3 linked regions of the Arabidopsis thaliana genome follow. The protein of the gene in region 1 interacts with the protein of each later gene in a pairwise test. Each region holds a gene or a part of one and is shown in the gene's direction. Other genes may lie near its edges.

The links.
Region 2: the proteins of ATERDJ2A (region 1) and CNGC5 interact in a protein complementation assay, tested with the Arabidopsis thaliana proteins (one large-scale study listed by BioGRID).
Region 3: the proteins of ATERDJ2A (region 1) and ECA2 interact in a protein complementation assay, tested with the Arabidopsis thaliana proteins (one large-scale study listed by BioGRID).

The regions. Positions count from the first base shown.
Region 1 is NC_003070.9:30,067,410-30,071,161, forward strand, and holds the start of ATERDJ2A (DnaJ / Sec63 Brl domains-containing protein), read left to right. Parts: upstream 1-2,109; 5' UTR 2,110-2,260; exon of another isoform or gene 2,261-2,303; intron 2,304-2,579; exon of another isoform or gene 2,580-2,582; 5' UTR 2,583-2,613; coding exon 2,614-2,799; intron 2,800-2,877; coding exon 2,878-2,973; intron 2,974-3,063; coding exon 3,064-3,184; intron 3,185-3,298; coding exon 3,299-3,405; intron 3,406-3,491; coding exon 3,492-3,709; intron 3,710-3,752. UniProt on the Arabidopsis thaliana protein: Required for integral membrane and secreted preprotein translocation across the endoplasmic reticulum membrane.
Region 2 is NC_003076.8:23,454,664-23,458,415, forward strand, and holds the start of CNGC5 (cyclic nucleotide gated channel 5), read left to right. Parts: upstream 1-1,901; 5' UTR 1,902-2,003; exon of another isoform or gene 2,004-2,234; intron 2,235-2,352; 5' UTR 2,353-2,452; coding exon 2,453-2,481; intron 2,482-2,660; coding exon 2,661-3,243; intron 3,244-3,404; coding exon 3,405-3,617; intron 3,618-3,752. Other genes in the region: APO2 (APO RNA-binding protein (DUF794)), read left to right, coding at 27-54, 157-275, 422-774, 860-1,691. UniProt on the Arabidopsis thaliana protein: Probable cyclic nucleotide-gated ion channel.
Region 3 is NC_003075.7:384,698-388,449, reverse strand, and holds the start of ECA2 (ER-type Ca2+-ATPase 2), read left to right. Parts: upstream 1-1,599; 5' UTR 1,600-1,953; intron 1,954-1,970; exon of another isoform or gene 1,971-2,149; 5' UTR 2,150-2,223; coding exon 2,224-3,688; intron 3,689-3,752. Other genes in the region: AT4G00905 (NC domain-containing protein-like protein), read right to left, coding at 1-87, 492-585. UniProt on the Arabidopsis thaliana protein: This magnesium-dependent enzyme catalyzes the hydrolysis of ATP coupled with the translocation of calcium from the cytosol to an endomembrane compartment.

The DNA.
Region 1 (3,752 bases):
CGCGAGAGGGGTTTAAAGTTATGGAAGCTTGAACCCAAATCTGGGTTTTATCGTCGTAGAGAGAAAACGAAGAGCAGGAGAGGTTGTCGTAAGGAAGAGACAAGAGAGCGAGAGGGGTTTATTAAGAAGCCCCCAGGGTTGCGTTCCTCTCTACTTTTCCTTTTTTCTTTTCACACTTTCTTTTCCTTTTTTTTTTTAATTACTACTTTTATGTCCTTTTCTTCTAATACTATATCTTATGATATTTATTTTTGCCTCTCTTTCATAATTTACGTAAACAAATCGAGTCTACAAATAAAAATTATCAAAACCAAATTAATACATTTGCGTAAAGCTCTTCCGTCCAAAACCAAATTATTTATAAGTTGAAAGATTATACAACTAACTTTGTATGCGTTAATGATAAACAACAATAATAATTCTAAACTATTTGAAAAATATTATTAGCTAGTAAATGATTTCTGAGTTGGATTTTTTCGAGATAATGTCACTGTTTACTGGCATTTCAATCCTACTGTTGCAAACCTTATTTTGTGAAATATTCTTAGTGTGGACAAAAATCTTGGATCGTAATCATCTAGTACAGTACTTTCTAATCGTCAATTAGATTGAAGAACTATATTAAATGTTTACATATATTTTTGGTATCACTTGCTTCTTTATTTGCATCTTTCCTACCTGATCTTAAGTTTACTCGGTTTAAAACTACTGTATATAGCAAACTTGCAATGACATGCAATATGCTATGATTGTTTTCTTTTGTTATAAATGTTAATATCATATATAAAATGAAAGAAATGTATTACAAAAGAGCATTAACCTAATCACCAGATTGCGAAAACCTTTTAGATGTCTTCTTGAAGATATGGTATTGCAAATTTCACGGTCAAAATTCTTGAAAATGATCGAAGAAAGCAGTGACTGTGAATTATGTAAGACATTATTTACTTGTTTTCAAATGTGGTAAACTCCACCGTGTGCTGCCATTTTTTTGAGAGTGGAAGGAACATTTGGTGAACGAGTTTTTGTCCAAGAGAGAAGCTCAAACTATGTGGAAGGCATATGCGTGTGCTGCCAGTTTCTTGAGAGTGGTAGGAACATTTGGTGAACGAGTTTTTGTCCAAGAGAAAAGCTCAAACCATGTGGAAAGCATATTCGTGTGCTGCCAGTTTCTTGAGAGTGGTAAGAACATTTGGTGAACAAAAGCTCAAACTATGTGGAAGGCATATGATGCGAGAAATGCTTAACCGAGAAAAAAATTAGCCTCCAAATCTCACAAGCAAAATCTCAAGTTAATAAGCATTTTAGCAGTGGTGTCTATGTACAACAATATCATAATATGAAAGCCAGTAATAAAATTTAAATGGTATGAAAAACGATAATAGCTATATAATAACATTTTCTTTGTTTTTAATATCTATATTTTGTTTTAGTTATATATAATATTAACATGTCAACAAAGTTTTCAAATAACTGATTATTTAATATAATCAAAACAAGTAAAATTATACGATATTTGGCTAGATTTAAAACGACTATTTTAGTGAATCGAATAACCAAATCATACCAAACTCATTCAAAATCATTATTAGCTTTCGTTACAGTAGATAAAAAAGTATTGGTAACCATGCTCTTATAAATTTAATTGAATTAGACAGTTTATGATTAAATCGATAATAATAACGAAGATTGATGTATTTTGCAAGTAGAACAATTTATTTCTGGTCGAAATATAAATAGTTACAACAAAACAGTTTTCTTAAAATCATTAAATATTTGTTTTGTTTAAATCTCTATTTTGTTGTAACTATTTACAATCTCTAGATCACATTAAATCTCTAGAACATATAAGAGATTTGTTGCAATCCCTATTACAATATCTGGATCACATTAAATCTCTAGAGCATATAATCCCTCTTTGATCCATATCCTTTTCTCTTTTTCCTTTCTAATTTATAAAAAATGTGATTTTTTTTGGGAAATTCGTTTTCGTTCACCATAAAAACTTTGCTATTAATAATTACTCTAATTTAATGGAAAATAAATAACTCGTAAAAATGTAAAGAGAGAAATGAATTGCGAAATATTTTAATTGAGAAGGTAAAGAAAAGTGAATAAGCAAGTAAAGAAGAAAGAACTCACCAATCAGAAATCAGAAATTAGAAGAGAAGAGAAGCATAAAGAAAAAAAAACTGCAACGCCGTTTGTTGCCGATCTGCAGCAGCGCGATCTCTCTGATTATAGAGAGCTATCATCCTAGGTGAGCTTCTTCTTCGATTTCCTCTTCTACAATATCCTTTCAAGTTCGATTTCATCTTCTTTCACCAATTATTGGTTTTGCTTCCTTCCCGTAGTTTCGTTTGTTTGTTTTCTAAGGTTTTGTGTCGATCTCAAAGTGAGTCCAGGGATTCATATACCTTTAGACTAGATTAGCCGAGATCTATTAGTGTTGATCTCCGTCATGTAGAATCCCTAATTAATTTCAGTGGCCTCAGATCCAGCTTTTCATGTTATTGATAATTTTGTATCCTTGAAGCTTTTTGGATGTTGTGAGATTATAACAGAGCTTTTCCTTTCAGCAGAATAGAATCTCTCAGTTTAAAGGCTCCAAAGATGGCGGCGTCAGAAGAGAATAGCGCATTGTTTCCCATTTTTATCTTGACGATTATGGCAATTCCTTTGGTGCCTTACACCATGGTCAAGTTAAGCGGTGCTCTCTCCAAGAAACAAAGGACCATTCATTGTCAGTGTCTCGAGTGTGACCGTTCTGGAAAATATAAGAGATCCTTGTTTAAAAAGGTTACTTTCCACTCAACCTCCTGCTCTGTAATAGATTATTGCATGTTCCTAACCTCTTCTTCACTTATCTATCTGCAGATCTCTAACTTCTCTACGTGGAGCAACTTGACACTTGTGCTACTCTGGGTCGTGATGATTTTCTTGATTTATTACACTAAGAACATGAGCCGTGAGGTAATCCCATTGCTTGCTGTTGAACTTGAATGCACCGCTGACTTATATCAACTAATTCTACTTGCTTATTTACCTTCTTTTGTGTTACAGGCTCAAGTTTTTGACCCATTCAGTATACTTGGACTGGAACCTGGAGTTACAGATTCAGAAATAAAGAAAGCATATAGAAGGCTGTCGATTCAATACCATCCTGATAAAAATCCAGATCCAGGTCAAGTTTTTCCCCTTGTTATTTTTTTTTTCCCTTTTGATCATTACGGAATTATGGTTGCAGCTTTTGATCCTGATAGTTTTTTCTTCTATGCGCATTTGTTGATCTCTACAGAAGCCAATAAATATTTTGTGGAGTTCATATCTAAAGCATACCAGGCTTTGACTGATTCAGTATCCCGTGAAAACTTTGAGAAGTATGGTCATCCAGATGGCAGACAGGTAAGGATACATCTCCTTTCCCTTCGCATGTGCTCCCGTCTTATTGACAAGCCTATTGAGACTAAAATATTGTTATGTGATCGCAGGGATTTCAAATGGGCATTGCTCTTCCTCAATTTCTTCTAGACATTGATGGAGCATCTGGTGGCATATTATTGCTTTGGATAGTTGGTGTCTGTATTCTCTTGCCCCTTGTGATTGCTGTTATATATCTCTCGAGGTCATCAAAGTATACTGGGAACTACGTTATGCATCAAACACTCTCCGCATATTATTATCTAATGAAACCCTCTCTGGCCCCAAGGTATATTCACTCATACCCATATACATTCAAGTGATGCTATTGG
Region 2 (3,752 bases), on another chromosome or scaffold:
ATGGTTTAATCCAGCAACTGTCGACGATGTCGATAACGTACTCCGCTATTTCCTGTAAGTTTCTTCCTCACTGTGTGTCGAATCCGTCCTCAATGCTCAATTTTATCCATTTATTGTGAGACTGTGATTGATTTTGGTTTCCGTTGTTTTATCCAGCTAGTACAGTTTCTGGGTTTTCACCAAAAAGTGTACCTTTTGCTATTCATAGCGTAACCAGGAGGCAATTTCTTAATCCCAACACGTTTTATAGATTTGGGTTCTCTCCTTCTCTTCAGGTCAGATTCCTTTACTAGTCAGTATCATCCAATTCTCCAGACTCTGCTTCGTTGTTGTTTTGGTTCTTAGAATTAGACCACACTTCGTTGCTTCCCTTTGAAGTAGAGAGTCAATGTTTACTGTTATGTGCGGATATGTTGTGCAGGGAAGTAGCATTGAGTTTAGCCTTCAGTTGAATTCAAGAGTTGTGCTTAGTAAAGAGCGTCGATCTCTGCCATTAGTTGTGAGAAATGATCGTCCTCAGAATGAAGACTTACCTAAGCAGTACACAAGGCGAGAGAAGAAACCTTTCCCAGTCCCTATTGTGGACCTGAGACGAGCTGCGAGGGAGAGAGTCAAGAACAACAAAGACAAACCTAAGAGACCTCTACCTCCGCCTAAAAATGGTATGGTTGTGAAGAGCCTTGTGCCTCTTGCTTATAAAGTATACAATGCAAGAATCAGATTGATCAACAATCTCCACCGGCTTATGAAAGTTGTTCGTGTTAATGCTTGTGGGTAAAAATTCTCTTCTTCTTCTTGTTTCATTTTTGGTCTGTTTTGAGTATGGCCTTTTTTTGATGTTGTATGATTGGTCTCTTAGGTGGTGCAATGAGATTCATGTTGGACCTTATGGGCATCCATTTAAGTCGTGTAAAGGTCCCAATACTTCCCAAAGGAAAGGTCTTCATGAATGGACTAACTCGGTTATTGAGGACGTTATTGTTCCTCTTGAAGCCTATCACCTTTTTGACCGCCTTGGCAAGCGTATCCGTCATGATGAAAGATTCTCGATTCCCCGAGTTCCTGCTGTAGTTGAGCTCTGCATTCAGGGCGGCGTTGAAATACCCGAATTTCCAGCAAAAAGGAGAAGAAAACCGATTATCCGCATTGGCAAAAGCGAGTTTGTTGATGCAGATGAAACTGAATTGCCTGATCCAGAGCCTCAGCCTCCTCCAGTGCCATTGTTAACTGAGTTACCTGTCTCAGAGATCACTCCCCCATCTAGCGAAGAAGAAACAGTCTCCTTAGCCGAAGAAACATTACAGGCCTGGGAAGAAATGAGAGCAGGAGCCAAAAAGCTGATGAGGATGTACAGGGTTAGGGTCTGTGGGTACTGTCCAGAGGTTCACGTAGGTCCAACGGGACACAAGGCCCAGAACTGTGGTGCATTCAAGCACCAACAGCGGAATGGCCAGCATGGTTGGCAATCTGCAGTACTTGACGACTTGATACCGCCAAGATATGTTTGGCATGTTCCTGATGTGAATGGGCCACCGATGCAGCGAGAGCTACGAAGCTTCTACGGGCAAGCACCTGCTGTTGTGGAGATATGTGCTCAGGCTGGCGCTGTTGTACCTGAGCATTATAGAGCTACAATGAGACTGGAGGTTGGAATTCCTTCGAGTGTGAAAGAAGCTGAGATGGTTGTTTGATATGTAGAAGACCTTGTAAACTTCTTCTTGTACAAAATCCTCCATTCCACCTTGTGTTGTATAATAATATCACAGCCCAGGTCTTTTTGACTTTTGAAGGACAAAAAAAACAATCCACGCTAATCCTATTATCAAGGGTAAAAATGTCATTTGCTTCGTTTTCATCTTTTCTCGTTGCCATTTTCTTTTTTTTGTCTGTGTCAAGTCGATACCACTTGTCTGGTAGCTTTATACCCACTTTCATCTTTTTCATGTTCGTAGTTGTTCCTCTGGTTATCCTCATCAACGGGACCCTTGAAACCGTGTAGCCATGTAAGCCTTTGTCTTTGTCTCTTTCTCTTGCTTCAGCAAGTTCACGTCTGCTCTATTTCTAATTTTGTTCTAAGATTCAATTCTCCTTTTTTCTATGCGAGAAATTTAAGATTGGTTCTCTAGCTCTACCTCTTTAAATTTGTTACTATGTGTCGGTGTCCATCATTCATCAAATTTTTTCCTTTTTTATCCATTTGAGTTGATGTAATGATGTTGCTTCGCTTCATACTGGTCAGAGTTAGTCTAATCTTCATTTTAGCACAACTTGACAACTTCATATGGTTATGACTTATTTTTACTTGGGTCTTTCAAAGGTTAAGTATTTTAGTCTTATTTTGGGATGATGCAGCTTGCTTAATGATTAGAGTCTTAAAGCTGTGCTCTTTCTTCATCGATTTGAGCAAGTGATCTTGGAAGGCTCTTGAGTTCTGAATTCCTTGTAAGCAATCATGGCAGGGAAAAGAGAAAACTTTGTGAGGTTAGTGCTGCATCCTTTTGTTTTAATACAAAGATCTGAAGTTTGAATGTGAGAAACGTATTGATTTGGCAATGGTTGTTTCTGATTTGTTTCCTTATGAAAGTATAGTGTGATTGTACTGAACTATAGCTTGTTGGTGCATAGTAATCTGAAAGTGGTGTTGTTCATACCTTTTATAGGGTGGATGATTTGGACTCTAGGTTACCATCATCATCTGTAGCCTTCCAACAGAACTACGCCTCCAATTTCAGTGGACAACTTCATCCTATTCATGCAAGCAATGAAACTTCTAGATCCTTCAAGAAAGGTATCCAGAAGGGTTCCAAAGGGCTTAAGTCGATCGGACGTTCACTTGGTTTCGGTGTTTATCGAGCAGTGTTCCCAGAAGACCTTAAAGTATCTGAAAAGAAGATATTTGATCCTCAGGATAAATTCCTTTTGTATTGCAATAAATTATTCGTTGCGTCATGTATTCTTTCAGTGTTTGTGGACCCTTTTTTCTTCTATCTTCCTGTGATTAATGCTGAGTCCAAGTGCCTGGGTATTGACAGAAAACTGGCTATCACAGCAAGTACATTGCGGACTTTTATCGATGTGTTTTATCTCGCTCACATGGCTCTCCAGCTTAGGACTGCTTATATTGCACCTTCATCACGGGTCTTTGGGCGAGGTGAACTCGTGATTGATCCTGCACAGATAGCAAAGAGATATCTACAACGTTGGTTTATTATTGACTTTCTCTCAGTACTTCCTCTCCCTCAGGTTGGTTAATATAAGTTTTGATCATTTCAGTAAATTGTGTGTTGGAAAACATCATTGCTTAATTTGTTGAAAGGGTGCAGTAGCCAGTAGTTGGTGATCAGACATCTCTGTCAAGCGCTTTCTAGTTCTAGATTTACAGTACTCATTTTGTGTATGTGCAGATTGTAGTTTGGAGGTTCTTGCAAAGTTCAAATGGGTCGGATGTATTGGCTACAAAGCAGGCCTTGCTTTTCATTGTTTTGGTCCAGTATATACCGCGATTCCTACGTGTCTTACCCTTGACGTCAGAATTGAAAAGGACAGCAGGTGTCTTTGCTGAAACGGCTTGGGCTGGTGCCGCTTATTATCTGCTTTTATATATGCTTGCAAGTCATGTGAGTTTATATACCTTTTTCATTTTAAGACGTTGCTTGTACTATTCAATGCTTGCCCATTCACCATGAGTTATGTGACTGTGGCACCAAAAGTGCAAAACAAGGAAATATTTGCATATCCGTTTCACTGTTATG
Region 3 (3,752 bases), on another chromosome or scaffold:
AAGAAGAAGAAGAAGAAGCGAGTGTAGGAGATATCAAGCTGTGCTCAGGTTTGAAATGAACCACTTTGCAACCACCAACAAATACGCCTACAAATGTGGAAAATTTAGAAGAAAACAAAATGCTTTCTTCAGTTGAAATGTCAACAAAAGCAATCAAAATCTATTTGCTACCACCATTGACTATAGAAGGACAAGTCATCATCAGTACGATTGAATCCAGAGAAAACAAAAGATGAGACTTTTTGAAGATCCGTTTCAATAAAGTCAAAAACTTTGGCATGAGGGAAAAAGACCTAATAACAAAACAGAGTTTTTGACACAATAACCCAATAAGAAACCAAATGACGGTTTGTTTCTTCATCTCTGCAACGGAAAGAGGTAACATAAACCCTAAAATTTACACAAAGAAGATCCAAATTGAGGAAAAACTATGGATGATTCATGCCAAAAGCTCATTGATGATGAAATCAAAAGGAAGAAATCGAAGGTACCGTGGTGAGAATAAGCGAAGACGGCTCGATAAGTGTAGATGTGATCACCAGGTTTAAGCTCGTCTCTCTCGACTTTGTTCGTGAGTACACCCATTGCTTCGTCTTCCTCAAAATAAAAGCTTTCCCTTTGGCTTGTGGAAATTGCAGTGTACAAGTAGATTCTTACGTCAGCGGCAGAGATATGATTGGGCGATCAAACCGGAGACTGTTGAACCAATGCCGTTACAGAATCTTTTGACGGCGTTAACTGTTAGATGACGACAATCGCTGTGGAGGGTAATATGGTCAATATACGAAAAGGCTTTTGTGAACACGACGCCGTTTTTAAAGTGTCCCTGGAATCTTATTCTTCCTTTCTTGGTGTATTGGACTCATATTGGGCTTAAAGAAAACGCTCTACGGCCTAAATATCGAAAAGCGTATTATTTATCTATCAACCAATTGTTATTTTGCTCATTGCCAACTAATGAACAATGCTTAGAATTAATCAAATTTTCTAATCTGAACGAAGGAAGATATAAGTAGGAGTTTTATACAATCGATAATTGTATACTTAATTATTATTATAAGCTATATTGGTTAATGAGTTTCTTTGGAGTGAGTATATAATAAGAAAAATATATATAGAGCCGAGCGTAGTGGAGGTAGATCAGGCAATAATGGAAGAAACTTCGAGGAACTTCGCTTTTTGTTGTAACCACAAAAGCGAATATAACAATTAATACGGTTTGAGTAGGCTTGCAGATTTTCAGACAGCACTCCTACTGACAGATGTTTGAAAATTAAAATATTTATTGCGATTATTATAACAACACTGTAGTAAGGAACTTTTGGGTTATTTCATTGGTTTATTAAAGTCTTTAATCGTTGACTTTTTAATTTCATTATTATCTGTAAACTCGTATTTTAAGTGATTTTAATAATAATAATTTGAAAGTAAAATGGAATATCCCCCGATATCAAGCGAGCCGTACGGGAAAGGGAAAGTCAAACATGTAATAACAGTTTTAAATGAAGGGTACTACAGTCTTTTCAAGGGGTTAATAACGTTCCGTTTTCTTTATGGACAGCCAATCAGATGGGACCACGTATATCACTATTACCAAACCTTCGCTTTTCTGGAAAGTGGAAAGCAAAACCACAGAGAGAAGAGAAGAAGAACAAAGCAAAATATATTCAAAATTTAAGCAATAAAGGCAAAAATTAAAAGACAACGAGTTTCAAACACGAAACCACGACTTGTCCAAATCAAGATTTGTCCTTTTTCCTTTTTAGTGGTAGAACGCGAATCAAATTTGGGAATAAAATTTTACTTCTTACTTTTTCAAAAATTCTTGGGTCTTCTTCAGCTTTGTCTCCAAGCAAACTTTTAGTCAAATCATTTTTTTCTTTCTTGATGGACTTTCTTTCATGTTTGATATTTCAATGACGAAAGCTCTAACTGGTTTTTCTTGGAATTTAGGTAAGAATTTATACTCTGTTTCTCTCTCTGTTTAACTCAGTTCTTGTTTTGGGTTTCTGGGTTTGTATTTTTTTTAGATCTTTGATTATTTATTATGTTCTATGTTGTAAAAGATATCAAACCGTCAATAAAAACTGTAACTTTATTTGTTGTTTAAAAATTGATATTTCATTGTTTGATTGAAATTTTTCTACAGGAATTTGATAAACGGTTTCTCACATACACAAGAAGAAAATAACCGTTTTGAGTTAAAGTAAAGCTTTTGAACCAATGGAGGAGGAGAAGTCGTTCTCGGCGTGGTCTTGGTCTGTTGAGCAATGTTTGAAAGAGTACAAGACAAGATTAGACAAGGGTTTAACTAGCGAAGATGTCCAAATCCGCCGTCAAAAGTACGGTTTTAACGAGCTTGCTAAGGAGAAAGGCAAGCCTTTATGGCATCTTGTATTGGAACAATTCGACGATACGCTTGTGAAGATTCTTCTCGGTGCTGCGTTTATCTCTTTCGTTTTAGCCTTTTTAGGTGAGGAACACGGCTCAGGTTCAGGGTTCGAGGCCTTTGTTGAGCCTTTTGTGATTGTTTTGATTCTGATTTTAAACGCTGTGGTTGGTGTGTGGCAAGAGAGTAATGCTGAGAAAGCACTTGAGGCTCTTAAAGAGATGCAATGTGAATCTGCAAAGGTTTTGAGAGATGGGAATGTGTTGCCTAATTTGCCTGCTAGAGAGCTTGTTCCAGGGGATATTGTGGAGTTAAATGTAGGAGATAAAGTCCCTGCTGATATGAGAGTTTCCGGTTTGAAAACATCCACTTTAAGAGTCGAGCAAAGCTCGTTAACCGGTGAAGCAATGCCGGTTTTGAAAGGAGCGAATCTTGTAGTCATGGATGATTGTGAACTGCAAGGGAAAGAAAATATGGTTTTCGCTGGAACAACGGTTGTTAACGGAAGCTGCGTTTGCATTGTGACAAGTATAGGTATGGATACGGAGATCGGGAAAATCCAGAGACAGATTCACGAGGCGTCGCTTGAAGAGAGCGAGACTCCGTTAAAGAAGAAGCTAGACGAGTTTGGGAGTAGATTGACTACAGCTATTTGCATTGTCTGTGTTCTTGTGTGGATGATAAACTACAAGAACTTTGTTTCTTGGGATGTTGTGGATGGCTATAAACCTGTGAATATCAAGTTTTCATTCGAGAAATGTACTTACTACTTCAAAATCGCTGTTGCTCTCGCAGTGGCAGCGATACCCGAGGGTTTACCCGCTGTGATCACGACATGTTTAGCTTTAGGGACGAGGAAAATGGCGCAGAAGAACGCGATAGTGAGGAAGCTCCCGAGTGTAGAGACACTCGGTTGCACAACTGTGATCTGTTCAGATAAAACCGGGACTTTAACAACAAACCAGATGTCTGCAACCGAATTCTTCACATTAGGCGGTAAAACAACGACTACTCGAGTGTTTTCAGTCAGTGGTACGACTTATGATCCTAAAGATGGTGGAATTGTGGATTGGGGCTGCAACAATATGGATGCTAACTTGCAAGCTGTTGCTGAGATATGTTCAATTTGTAATGATGCTGGAGTGTTCTATGAAGGGAAGTTGTTTAGAGCAACAGGTTTGCCTACAGAAGCAGCATTGAAAGTTCTTGTTGAGAAGATGGGTATCCCGGAGAAGAAGAACAGTGAGAACATCGAGGAAGTTACAAACTTTTCAGACAATGGTAGCTCAGTGAAGCTAGGTAAGTTTTAGAATGTTTTCACACCATTACATTAGCACAATTTCATTCATCTGCTATGTTGTTG